Linked DNA regions of Nothobranchius furzeri. The protein of the gene in region 3 purifies or fractionates together with the protein of the main gene of each other region. This does not show direct contact. Links are inferred from orthologs where the notes say so. Each region holds a gene or a part of one and is shown on either strand. Other genes may lie near its edges. The genes, in order: snrpa1, phf5a and sf3b6.

Evidence for each region.
Region 1: the proteins of sf3b6 (region 3) and snrpa1 purify together in Homo sapiens (affinity purification with mass spectrometry; 5 studies listed by BioGRID and IntAct, with this or other methods). This does not show direct contact. The link is inferred for Nothobranchius furzeri from reciprocal best matches to the Homo sapiens genes SF3B6 and SNRPA1.
Region 2: the proteins of sf3b6 (region 3) and phf5a purify together in Homo sapiens (affinity purification with mass spectrometry; 4 studies listed by BioGRID and IntAct, with this or other methods). This does not show direct contact. The link is inferred for Nothobranchius furzeri from reciprocal best matches to the Homo sapiens genes SF3B6 and PHF5A.

The regions. Positions count from the first base shown.
Region 1 is NC_091749.1:6,237,648-6,241,399, forward strand, and holds the start of snrpa1 (U2 small nuclear ribonucleoprotein A'), read right to left. Parts: upstream 2,430-3,752; 5' UTR 2,305-2,429; coding exon 2,223-2,304; intron 2,120-2,222; coding exon 1,972-2,119; intron 1-1,971. UniProt on the Homo sapiens protein: Involved in pre-mRNA splicing as component of the spliceosome. Associated with sn-RNP U2, where it contributes to the binding of stem loop IV of U2 snRNA.
Region 2 is NC_091756.1:28,019,801-28,023,552, reverse strand, and holds the start of phf5a (PHD finger-like domain-containing protein 5A), read right to left. Parts: upstream 2,481-3,752; 5' UTR 2,379-2,480; coding exon 2,327-2,378; intron 2,038-2,326; coding exon 2,014-2,037; intron 368-2,013; coding exon 201-367; intron 131-200; coding exon 41-130; 3' UTR 1-40. Other genes in the region: l3mbtl2 (lethal(3)malignant brain tumor-like protein 2), read right to left, coding at 3,419-3,651, 3,728-3,752.
Region 3 is NC_091742.1:17,815,490-17,819,241, forward strand, and holds the start of sf3b6 (splicing factor 3B subunit 6), read right to left. Parts: upstream 2,192-3,752; 5' UTR 2,073-2,191; coding exon 2,043-2,072; intron 1,585-2,042; coding exon 1,466-1,584; intron 1-1,465.

The DNA.
Region 1 (3,752 bases), on a different chromosome or scaffold from region 3:
GGAAGGGCAGGGCCGACCCGGCCTTACTTTACATTCACGGGGACTGTGTGGAGAGGGTGCACTCCGTGAGCTTTCTGGGCGTGCAGATCTCTGATGATCTCTCCTGGACTGCAAACACCACAGCGGTGGTAAAAACTTCATGAGAGTGCTCAGAAGGAACGACCTGGAGGAGAGGCTGCTGGTCACATTCTACAGAGCCACCACAAAGGGCATCCAAGCGTACGGCATCACAACATGGTATGCAGGGTGCTCAGCTGCAGACAGGAAAGTACTGCAGAGGGTCATCAGCACAGCCCAGAAGACCACTGGATGCTCTCTGCCCAGCCTGAAGCACATTGCCAACTCTCATTACCCCAGTAGAGCAGGAACATCGAGGACTACTCTCACCCCAGTAACCATCTGTTTGACCCGTTACCGTCAGGCTGATGGTGCAGGTCACATAAAACCAGGGATAGCTTCTTTCCCAGAGCTACCAGAGTAGCAAACGACCACAAAACCAGATGAGCCTGTAAACCCGAGCCACACGTTTACTCTTACTATTAGTGTTTACTCAATATGCTAAAATTCTGCTTAACCTGCACAGAACCTGACTGATGCTGCTACTCTTTCTATACATTTGTAAATATTACTGTTGATTTTACGTTTATTTTATTCCGTATTATTTTACAAATTGCACCAAAGGGAGTGGCACTCCAATGTCGCTGTACAATAACAATAAAGTCTCTTCTATTCCCTAATACTTTTTTCTGGTCAGAATCGGCTCCTGTATGCTACTAGCCTTGTGTTTAAAACAAACCCAGTAAATGGATCGGGGCACCAGAAGATTTAAGGACGCTGGAGCAGAAACAGGTGATGAGGTAATTTCATAAAACCAACACTTCTGCTGCACTGAAGAGTCAGAGCAGCGTTTTTACCTTTAGCAGTGGTTTATTAAAGTCTTCAAGCAACCAGCCGAGATGACGCCGCAGCTCTTTCTACACATTTAATCAGACCACATCGATAACTTGTTAAGGATGACTGCACTATTCTGGAGTATTTTCACATACTTTCATGTTTGGTTTTCTGTGAATTACTCTCATATGACGATCCCTGATAACTTAATCATTTTGTCAGGGCTGGCTTTTCACTGAGCAGAGGGACCGTCTAAACCTCGTGGTAAAAAATTATTTTCATTTTGCAGAAACTCAAACTGATATTTCATTTTAAATATTTATTCCAAAAGATTACTTTAGCAGCAAAAAGTATGCAAATGTTGGAGCGGGTGACTACAGACCCCACTGATGCAGAGTCGTACCGTTCTACACGTCTTCCTGACAGCAGCTGCATCACACCGACGTCGTCTCAACTAAACGCAGATTACGCCAATGTTTTAATCTACAGCACATTGAAGAGTGACCAGCAAAAGGTCAGGCGGCCGTGACGCTGCTGCTTGCGTCTGACTCCTAATTAGTCTAGCAACATAAATGTCAAATTATTTAGTTCAATATAAGGAAGCTAAAGTGGTTTTTAAAAACGTGGCCTCCAGAATGCTCTTCTGAGTAATGGATGCCAGAGGTCTGACGGACATTTCAGCTGTCATCCCACTGTCTCTTTACTAGATCACAAATGTAACGGGTGTGGGACTCTAGTTGTGCCTCAGACTTATATATAAAGTGTTATTTATGAAGCAGGGGCAAATGATTGTGTTGAGGGGCATCAACACCCGGTTAAACAAATCTTGGAAAACCTGCATCCTAGTAAAACATCTGTTTAAATAAACAGTGTGTGTTCTTTACTGAAGGTAGTTAACTAAGGAGTAGCACAAGATGGCCAGTACGTTACTTAAAATACATTTTCTACATTTCCGATAATTACTGATATGGATCAACATGAAGTGTTCCCAGATCCTACTCGTCTCCATCATCCAGACCCTACCTGTGCAGCTCAGGGGCAGACCTGGACCATGGTGACACACAGAGCAGTGGGACTTACCAGACCCTGTTGTTGTTCATCAGCAGCGTCTTCAGCCTCTTTAGCAAAGGGAAGCCGTCCAGTTTTCTCACTTCATTATCAGAGAAATCTACAGTGTCAAACTGGTCCAGAGTAGCTCCGAGGTTTTCCACCACTGGGATCTTATAACCTAAAGATAAAGCAGAGCTAACACTGGTTAGCACACAAACACACACACACACACACACAACACTAACCTAGTCAGTTAGCCGTGGGTAAAGGCCCGAGTTTACCTCGTAAATCCAGCTCTCTGTCTCTCACAGGGTTGGTGTACTGAGCAGCCTGCTCAATCAGCTCCGCAGACAGCTTCACCATGTCGGACACGAACTTGGGCTTTTGTAACCTTTCTACAGCAAACTAAACAGTTTCACAGAGAGGTAAACGCTAACGTATTCCACGCTGCCGCCAGAACAAGAGCTTCTTCTACTTCCGGTTTGTCCGAGGACGAGTCAGTGGTAAATAGTGGTGCTACAGCGCCCCACCTGGAGTGGAGCTGGATCACTCATCAGTGCATAGGTAGGTGTTGAGTATATGGGATTAGATTTGTGCCAATAAGATGTTAAATTTAGTATATTTCCCAATAAAAAGTCCCTGTTAAGGAGCTGCAGCTCGTCTCCCTACTGGAGTTTCACAGTTTGGTAAAACTTCTCCAAGTTGGCAGACTGAGAAAATGCTGAAAAAAATCTAAGCTTTTGCTGCATTTATTTAAAGGAAAAGGTAACAGGGCTAAGTTGTTTAAATATGTGTGAATAGCCTAGCAGCAAATGAATAAAGCAGCAACCTGTAATTCCATGCTGTAGTTCTTTTTTAAACAGTTTTGTTTACCTGTTTTCCCGCTACATTTCGTTTGCAGCTGCAAACTTCCTCAGGCTGACGCTGATGGTGGCGTCACTTCCTTCTCTGTTTATCCGTGAGCAGCAGAGGATGTTGTCGCCCTCTGCTGCCCGCTCTCCCCTCTCCGACGATGCAGTCCCATGCGCGGTCCAACGTGTAAACTCCATCGTCCCTGTTCATGGTCCCACATCCACGTCACCTTATCTCGGTAGCTTCTTTTATTCATCTTTTGTATTTTTGTTGTTCGGTGTTTATGATCCTTGTGTTGTCCCAGTCCATTATATGGTTTTCTCTTGTGCAGTGATCTGTTACGGCTGACTTCTTTATTGTGATTTCTGCTTCTTCTTTTGCTGCTCTTGTGTGTTTTCGACTTGCCTCTTTCTCGCACTCCTTTCTATGTTCTATTGTTCGTGTGTTGAGTTGGCGTCCGGTTTCTCCTATGTATGTTTTATTGCAGAGTTTGCATGGGATTTTGTAAATGACTCCACATTTAAGTCCAGCTAGTATTTTGTCTTTTGGGTGTACTAGTCTGTTTCTAACTGTTGTGTATGGTTTTGTTGGTGTGTTTATGTTGTGTTTTTTCATTGTTGCTCTTATTTTTTCTGTTATGCCTTTAATGTATGGTAGGGTTATCACTGGTTTTGGTTCTTGGCTTTCTGGGTTGCTGGTTCTTTGCTTTGGTTGTTTTTTTCTTTCTGTTGTTGTTTGTTGTTTTCCTTTGTTTATTACCCATGTCGGGTATCCGCAGGTCTTTAAAGCATGTTGTATGTGTTTGTCCTCTTGTTTACGGTCTCTTTCTTCTGTTATTATGTTTGCTCGGTGATATAATGTTCTGATTACTGACATTTTGTATATGGTGGGGTGTTCTGATGTCCATAATAGATATTGGTCTGTGTGTGTTGGTTTCCTATATGTGTTAATGTTTAGGG
Region 2 (3,752 bases), on a different chromosome or scaffold from region 3:
AAAAAAAAAAACGACTATGAACTCGGTGTTTCTCCTGTCTTCACCTCTTCTTGAAGCCGTACTTCTTCCTTTCATAGAACAGATCTGTCTTGGAGCTGCCCAGGTTTACGATCTTGGGACAGCCATCTCGCTGCAGAGAGGAACAAAATATTTAGAGACGTTCCTGCAGACACAGCTGGGCGTACGAGAGGAGGACTCACATCTTTCTCCTGGATGGTGCACTCTTTGCAGTAGTAAGCGTCAGACACGCCGGGACCTCCGCAGATCACACAGCGCCCCTGATAGGAGCCGTAGTTACACTCATCACAAATACGCACCAGCGTGCACGGTCGCACGTAAGAGTCGCAGATCACACACTTCCCATCACCTGGAAGAGGAAGAGAAACTAAGCTGGTGATGGGAACAATAATTATTTCTACATTTACTAATAAAGTGAAAGTGCTTCTGATCTTATTAGGTAACTGTAACAATCACAAGACTGACCCGCCGTCTCTTCTGTGAGTGTTTGGAACGTTAGGAAGAGTTTCAGTCACGTGTTTTTAAGTGTGAGTGGTTGTGAAACGAAGTGGGAGAGGAGCCAAAGCTGCACTGGAGGTGTTGGATAAGTGAAACCGGAGATCTGTTTAACTGCGACTTTTCCTATTCGACCTAATGGCTTCATTGACTTTTCTCAAAGCAAAATGTGGAAGTGACATCTTTCTCAGATTTAAATCTGAGCCTTGATCTGTGTGTACAGGTGCAGACTCTGCTCAGCTCGTGTCCTTCACCTAAACCAACTTCTGTCTCAGGGTCCCATCTGGACTCCAATGCACCAGAATGCCACGTTTGGAGTTTCTTTGATAATCCTGCAACATTTGCAATAACTTTAAAATTTTCCTGTCGGGTGCTTTTCCAGATTTTCTGGTTAAGTTGGCAAGTGTCCAGACAGGATGTCCACAGGTTTGAAAATTTCTGTTAACACATTCTTCTGTTGTCTCTTTTGTCCCAGCTGGGACACGCTGAACTCAGTGGATGGAGAAACTAGTTTTAGTGAAGTTCAGTGTTGAGAGTTTAACTTCTCTCAGACTAGTTTCAGTCTGGTGAACATCTTGGTTTGGGTTGTGACCTCGTTATTATTCCTCATGTCCAGCATGTACTGTCTAAAGGTGATTCATGTTTGCACGGTCTGTGTAGAAAATATGTTTTCTTCACTTACAGCCATACATCTGGACCCTGATTACTGTAAATGACCACCAGATTTTACCTGCATATGAGTCTGGGTCACGGGGGTTGCAGCCCCAGCAGAGATACCCAACCTTGCCTCTTTCTGAAGACCTCCTCCAGCAGGATCCCCAGGTGTGCCTTGCCCAAAGTGGAGGTACCTCCAATGTGTCGCAGGTCGACCTGGAGCCTCCTGCTGGCAGGACATGCCTGAAACGCTTCCCCTAGGTGGAGTCCAGGGGACATCCATACCAAATTCCCAACCCACCTCAGCTGGCTCCTCATCTTTAAAGACATCAGTCAGTCAAAAGCTCTGCCACGTGTAGCATATGATATATGCTGCCATCCCAATTTTGCATCATCACAGGATTCTGCCTCACTTTCAAGACCAATCCCAGTCTTTGTCCTCGATATCCAAAATCCTAACGATGACCTGCATATCTCCACCTCCACCCTAAGGCCTCGTCTTCCTTTTCCTTGTTGACACCTCAGATCATTTTCAAATTCTCTTATCTAAATTTATGTTTGATTATTTTAAAAATGCTGCTTAAATTTACATTGCATTGACTTTAAAATTCATTACGGATTTTACATTGGCATGGTTTTTTATAAGGTGGGTGTTTTTAAAGTGCCTATAAATAAAATCTAGAGGTTTAACAGCGTTTATGATGGTTGGTTCTTTTTAGCCGCCTTTACTCCAAGGAAATCAGCTAGATCTTTGGGTTAGAATTAGCCAAAAGCACAACGTTCTAGAGGAAAACCTATAACAGAAATAGACTTTACAGTAAACGTGTTAAAAGTGGAGACACTTACACTTCTCGCAAAGTCTCCCGATAGCTGCGGGAGGAAAACAGAACAGTCGTTCAATTAAACGTTTCAATTTTCAGGATAAACGATAAATTTGTACTTCTCTATGTTCAATACTCAGTTAAACGGGTTTAAAAACCATAAAATTGTTAGTGTCAACAGAGATGAAAACCGTAAAGACACGTCCAGCTCCGCTACTCATTTCAGTATTTATGCTAACAGTTAGCTTAGCAGCTAACACATGGCGCAAATCAAACGTGTTTCTGATATATCTGTGTAGTTTCAAAGGTACCGAACGACATAAAGTAAAGAAACATACCGACACCCGCTTGTTTTCGACAGAAGATCAAATCTGGGTGATGTTTAGCCATTTTCAGCTAACCAACGACGGCCGAACGTAATTCAGTTTTAACCTTTGACCGGCGTGCAAGTGTCGAGTTGAGTCGCTACCACCACCTAGTGCCTTCACCTTGTAACTACACTCTTAAAAAACGGGTTTCAAATAAACAAGGACATTGGGTGAAAATGCTGTCATTAGCCCAGAATTTAAACAAATTTCCAAGTTTTATGTTCACTAAAATTCTTTATCCCTCTGCTCCAGAGGTGATGCCTCATCCTGATACGAGCTGCAATGTCTCTGAGTTACCATAGAACAGCAGCAAAGTTAATAAAATTACAAAAATCCCTGGGTTGCTGACACTGTCTCAAAAGGTTCAACAACAAATAATGAAGAATAGGGAACATTTTTATCCAGGTCCATTTTATTATTTTCTTTTCAGTTGTTGTTTAACCACTAATCAAAAGCCAAGATGGATTTTCAGTATATATTTATTACTTTTGTCAGTTTCAAATCATTACAATGACCACTGTGAGTTCTTCTTTAACAGAATTATACCAACAAACATTAAAACAGTTAACTTGGCTAATATGACCAGCCAGTGAATTAGTCTAACTAGTGAAACAGGTCCACATTGCCATACCGGCTCCTGGTCTATGCAGCCAGGATCAGCCGGTTTTCATCTGTTCACCTACTGGTCTGACTCTTACTCCCGACTGGATATTTGCTCACAAAAACAAATCTGATAACGAAACAAAAACAATGACTTGATCACTAACAAAAGCTTTTGAGGAACTGGGTGTAGCTAGGGTGACCTTGGGGGAGGCGAGACAGTTCTGAACTCTCTTTTTGGGTCGGAGGGTCTGAGAGTTTATAAACAGCAGAGATTCATGAGACATAGCTCCAGCCGTCTTTTGATTCACATCTGTTACCATCTCAGAACGTCATCTACAGCAGCCGCTTATATCTCCATCGGTTCAGCTCCTCCTGCAGTGTCTTGTTGTGTTGTTTTCCCACATCTCTTCCATGCTCCTCCCATTTTCTGGCCTCCTTTTTTCTGGGGTTTGTCTTTTTTTAACTCCGCTCAGCTTGTCCTTTATGCTCGCCTCCATTTTCTGCTGTTTCTCTTTTCTCTGCGGTCTGATGGATCATGTCTGCCAGTGGGCTCTGCTCTGGCACCTGATGTCCCGACTGGATCATCTGCTCGGCCTTCTCTTGTTTCACTTCACACTGCGAGACTTTTTGAGGCTGGTCTGGGGGGTTGATAAGGGTCTCCATCTCCTCCACCTTCACCTGCACTCTAACGACTACAGAGACACAACCCAGTCACACAACAATGATCAAAAATGACCTTTAAACCAAATTTGAAGAGCCTTCACTTACTCTCTCTCTCCTCTGGTTCAGCCTT
Region 3 (3,752 bases):
TGTTAACAAAAATAACAAATTTTGTTTTTCCATCAAACTATCTTAGCTGATCCATCCATCCATTTCTGGCCGCTTATCCAGGGTCGGGTCACGGGGCAGCAGCCTAAGCAGGGAGGCACAGACTTCCCTCCACAGCTCCTGCAGGGGAATCCCAAGGTGTTCCCTGGTCAGCTGAGAGACGTAGTCCCTCCAGCGCATCCTGGGTCTTCCTTTAGGTTAGAGATGGGCGATATGGCTCAAAATCAATATCACGATATATTGAGGATTTCACCTCGATAACGATAAATGGACGATAACTACAGGTATGCGCAGTAGAGCTGTAGCGATGCATCGATGACGTCGACGGCTCGATTCTAAAAATTCGTCGACGTCAGATCCGGTGGTCGACGCACCACGCCCACTTGTTGCATCCCCAGGAGTTTGTAAATAGAGGTGGAACCTGCCTGTTTTTCCTCTAGTCCACCCTCTTCTCCGCCTTCACTAACATCTCCACCAAATACCGAAGACCCAGAACAATGTCCGTCCGCTACTAGATTCCTTTCCTGTTTTGCCCGCCTTCGTCTCCTGGCAACGGGCAACAACTTCCGGGGTCAGATGCGCAGCTCCGTCTCTACTGTGTAAAAAACTTCTAAACCGAGTTTCTGTTATGCTTCTCTAAACATTGGTTCATGGGAGTCTCTAACCTGCAATTTGCTCTTTAAGGGATTTGTCATGTAATTTGTGTCAACAAACCAATCAACTCCAGGCAGAAACAACGTCCATGAAGGTGGCTCCTTTTCTGTGTTCATCTCTTTTCAGGCTAAAGACCAAAGGTGACAGATCATCTGCTGCTGTGGCCCCTAGACTCTGGAGCTCTCTCCCTCTGAGCCTGAGATCAGTGGACTCGGTGGTCTCCTATGAAAAGCAGCTAAAAACTCACCAGTTCAAGCTGGCTTTGGTGTGACCTTCGTCACCACCCTCTCCCTATTCGGCTCTTTCTACGTATTCCGCCTTTCCCAGCAATCCACTCATTTCCCTCTTTCCTATTCATTTTCTCTCTCCCATTCCTTACATTATTATTTTTAATCACAATTTACTTATCTTCATTTTAAACATATTTTTAATCGTTTTTTGACATCTTTCTAGTTGTTTTGTTTGTGAAGCGCCTTGTGATTTTTATTTTGAGAGGCGCTACGTAAAAGATCGTTTTCTTTCTGTCTTTGCTGCTTTCTCTACGACTCTTAACTGTTACTTCAACGTGAGCTCTCTAAATACACTTAAACCTGTTTTACTTACATTTGTTTTATTTATGTTTACCGTGAAGCGATGTGTGGCTTTTATCCTGTGAAGGCTGCTTTAAATGCAGAGTTGGCTTTGTTACATAAAATTTTCTTTTACTCTGAAAATGACTTCATAATAACACACACACACACACACACACACACACACACACACACACACACACACACACTTTTTGAAAACTTACGTTCGGATCTGTCGTATTGGTCCGTATTTTCCAAAGATATCGTACATCTCCTCAGCTGTGATCTTATAGGGGAGATTCCTTATATACAGGATTCTGTTCACCTCAGGAGGTAATCGGATCTACAACACCATTAAAACACATCATTAAACTATTCAGAGGGAACAAAACTAACCTGGGTAAAAACTCAAATACCTGATACATAAGTACACACGATTACTAGCTGAGGCCTTTTAAGACTACGTAAGTCACTTAACAATAGACATGGCTACTTTTAATCATTACATGCATTAGCTTATCCTTGTTTCCGTACCGGAAGGAACAAATATTCTTAGCCTGACGATATCCCAACGAGGATTATGTCTTCACAAAACAAAAGATGAAAAAACACATGACCTCAAATGGTAAGTATAACTAAAGTGAATATAAAGCTTGAAGATTTCAGGTTTTGAGGACTGTTTTCAATTTGCTAACCTGCTAGTAGTGCGCTAATTCTTTGAGACGCTTCCTCAGAGCTAAACCTAGCTTACATTTCACATTAGCCTTTCCTTTGTCCCCTTATATGCTCCATTACACTTACATTAGCACGTTTTGCTGCTTGCATAGCCATCGTAACGATTTAATTCGTGTAAATAACGCAGATAAACAACAAACACGCTGTTTTCACTTCAAAATGGAGGCTACGGTAAAAATATATCGAACTTCCGGTTTGGAATTAGGCTACAGATACATCCTTATAACGGTGCTGCCCTCTAGCGGCGGACAAGAACCTCAACCAGCCTGGAACAATTATCCTAACTATAGAAAAATGACATTCTTACAGAAATGCTATTTGAATACTGGCTGCTGAGGCTGATAACTGAAGATGCATAAGAACTGAACAGAACCTATACTTAAGCTCAACTCAGTAAAAAAATCCCAGAGTTTCTTTCAATATAATGAATACGAATAAAATAACATTTAAAACTGTATAGCAAACAAGTGTTAGTGCACTTTTTTTAAAACATGAAAAAATATTTAGGCTAAAATGTTCTTCTCGCTCTTCATACCAGTTGGTTCCAGAATTGAAGGGAGCACTATTTCCATTCCATTTTATTTTTAAAGCACATTTTTACAGGGCCGAGGCCAACCAAAGTGCTGCACAGTAAATGAGCATAAAAATCAACACACTGGAAGAAGTAATAAAAGTAGTACAGTAACTACTATAAAATCAATAAAGACAAAACAAAAACATCGTAAAATGCTAGCTAGGCTGAAGTAAAAGCTAAGGAATAAAAATGAGCCGTCACTGCTAGAGACGAGGCGCACAGACTGAGAAGGCTCGTTCTCCTTGCGTCCTCACCCGAACTCTTGGGACCTGTAACAGGTCTGCTGACCAAAGAATTCGACCAGGTACGTAGGGCTGAACCAGCTGAGTCAAGTAGAGAGGAGCATAAAGATAGAGTTACTTAAAAACAAGAAGTAAAAATTTAAATTGGATGCGGTAGCACACCTGGAGACTATTCCCTATTCGAGTAATTTGAGCATCAATCAGGTTTTTTCAGCACCTTTAATTTTAATATTTATAAAAAACAAAACACTGATACTGCAACTAATTTTCCTCTGAAACCTCAGCAGACTTTTTAAAAGCCTTTTTTATGCACAAACGAAACAACTGAATTAGAAAAAGGGAAAAGAAAAAGGTTATTGCCATGGTAACGGATGTTGCAGCACTGGCTTATGCTGGGCTTCACTCAAACAGGCACTAAGGTGAAGCTTGGGAGATGAACATCACATCTGGTCTTCACCGAGGCCGTGACCAGGTGTAAATCACATGAACAATGCATCTTTAACACTGCTCTGACTCAACTCTGTCCCCTAAAGACTCTAACCCCCCCAGCAAGACCACGTGAAACACCTAAAAAAGGACACCTTGGTAAATGTGCACACTACATTCAGTAGGAAAACAGTCCTTTCTACCATCAGAAACCGCCTGCATAGCAGCAACATCAGGACCAAGTCCTTTCTAATGTCACGTTTTGAGGATGTTTAGGACACAAATATGCAGAAACCCAGGATGACACGAGGCTGGAGATGATGTAAAGTAAATATGCTTTATTTTGTAGAACGAACAAAAATAAATCCAAAGGCAGTGAGCCAAAAGTCCAAAAATCCAAAAACCCTGGTAACAAAAACAAAAGCTCACTGAGAGCACCAAAACCTGGAGACATAAGCTCAACTAGAGCATAAAACAACGCTGACAAACATACAATGGACCGACAACAACACAGGGACAAGACAGGGCTTATAT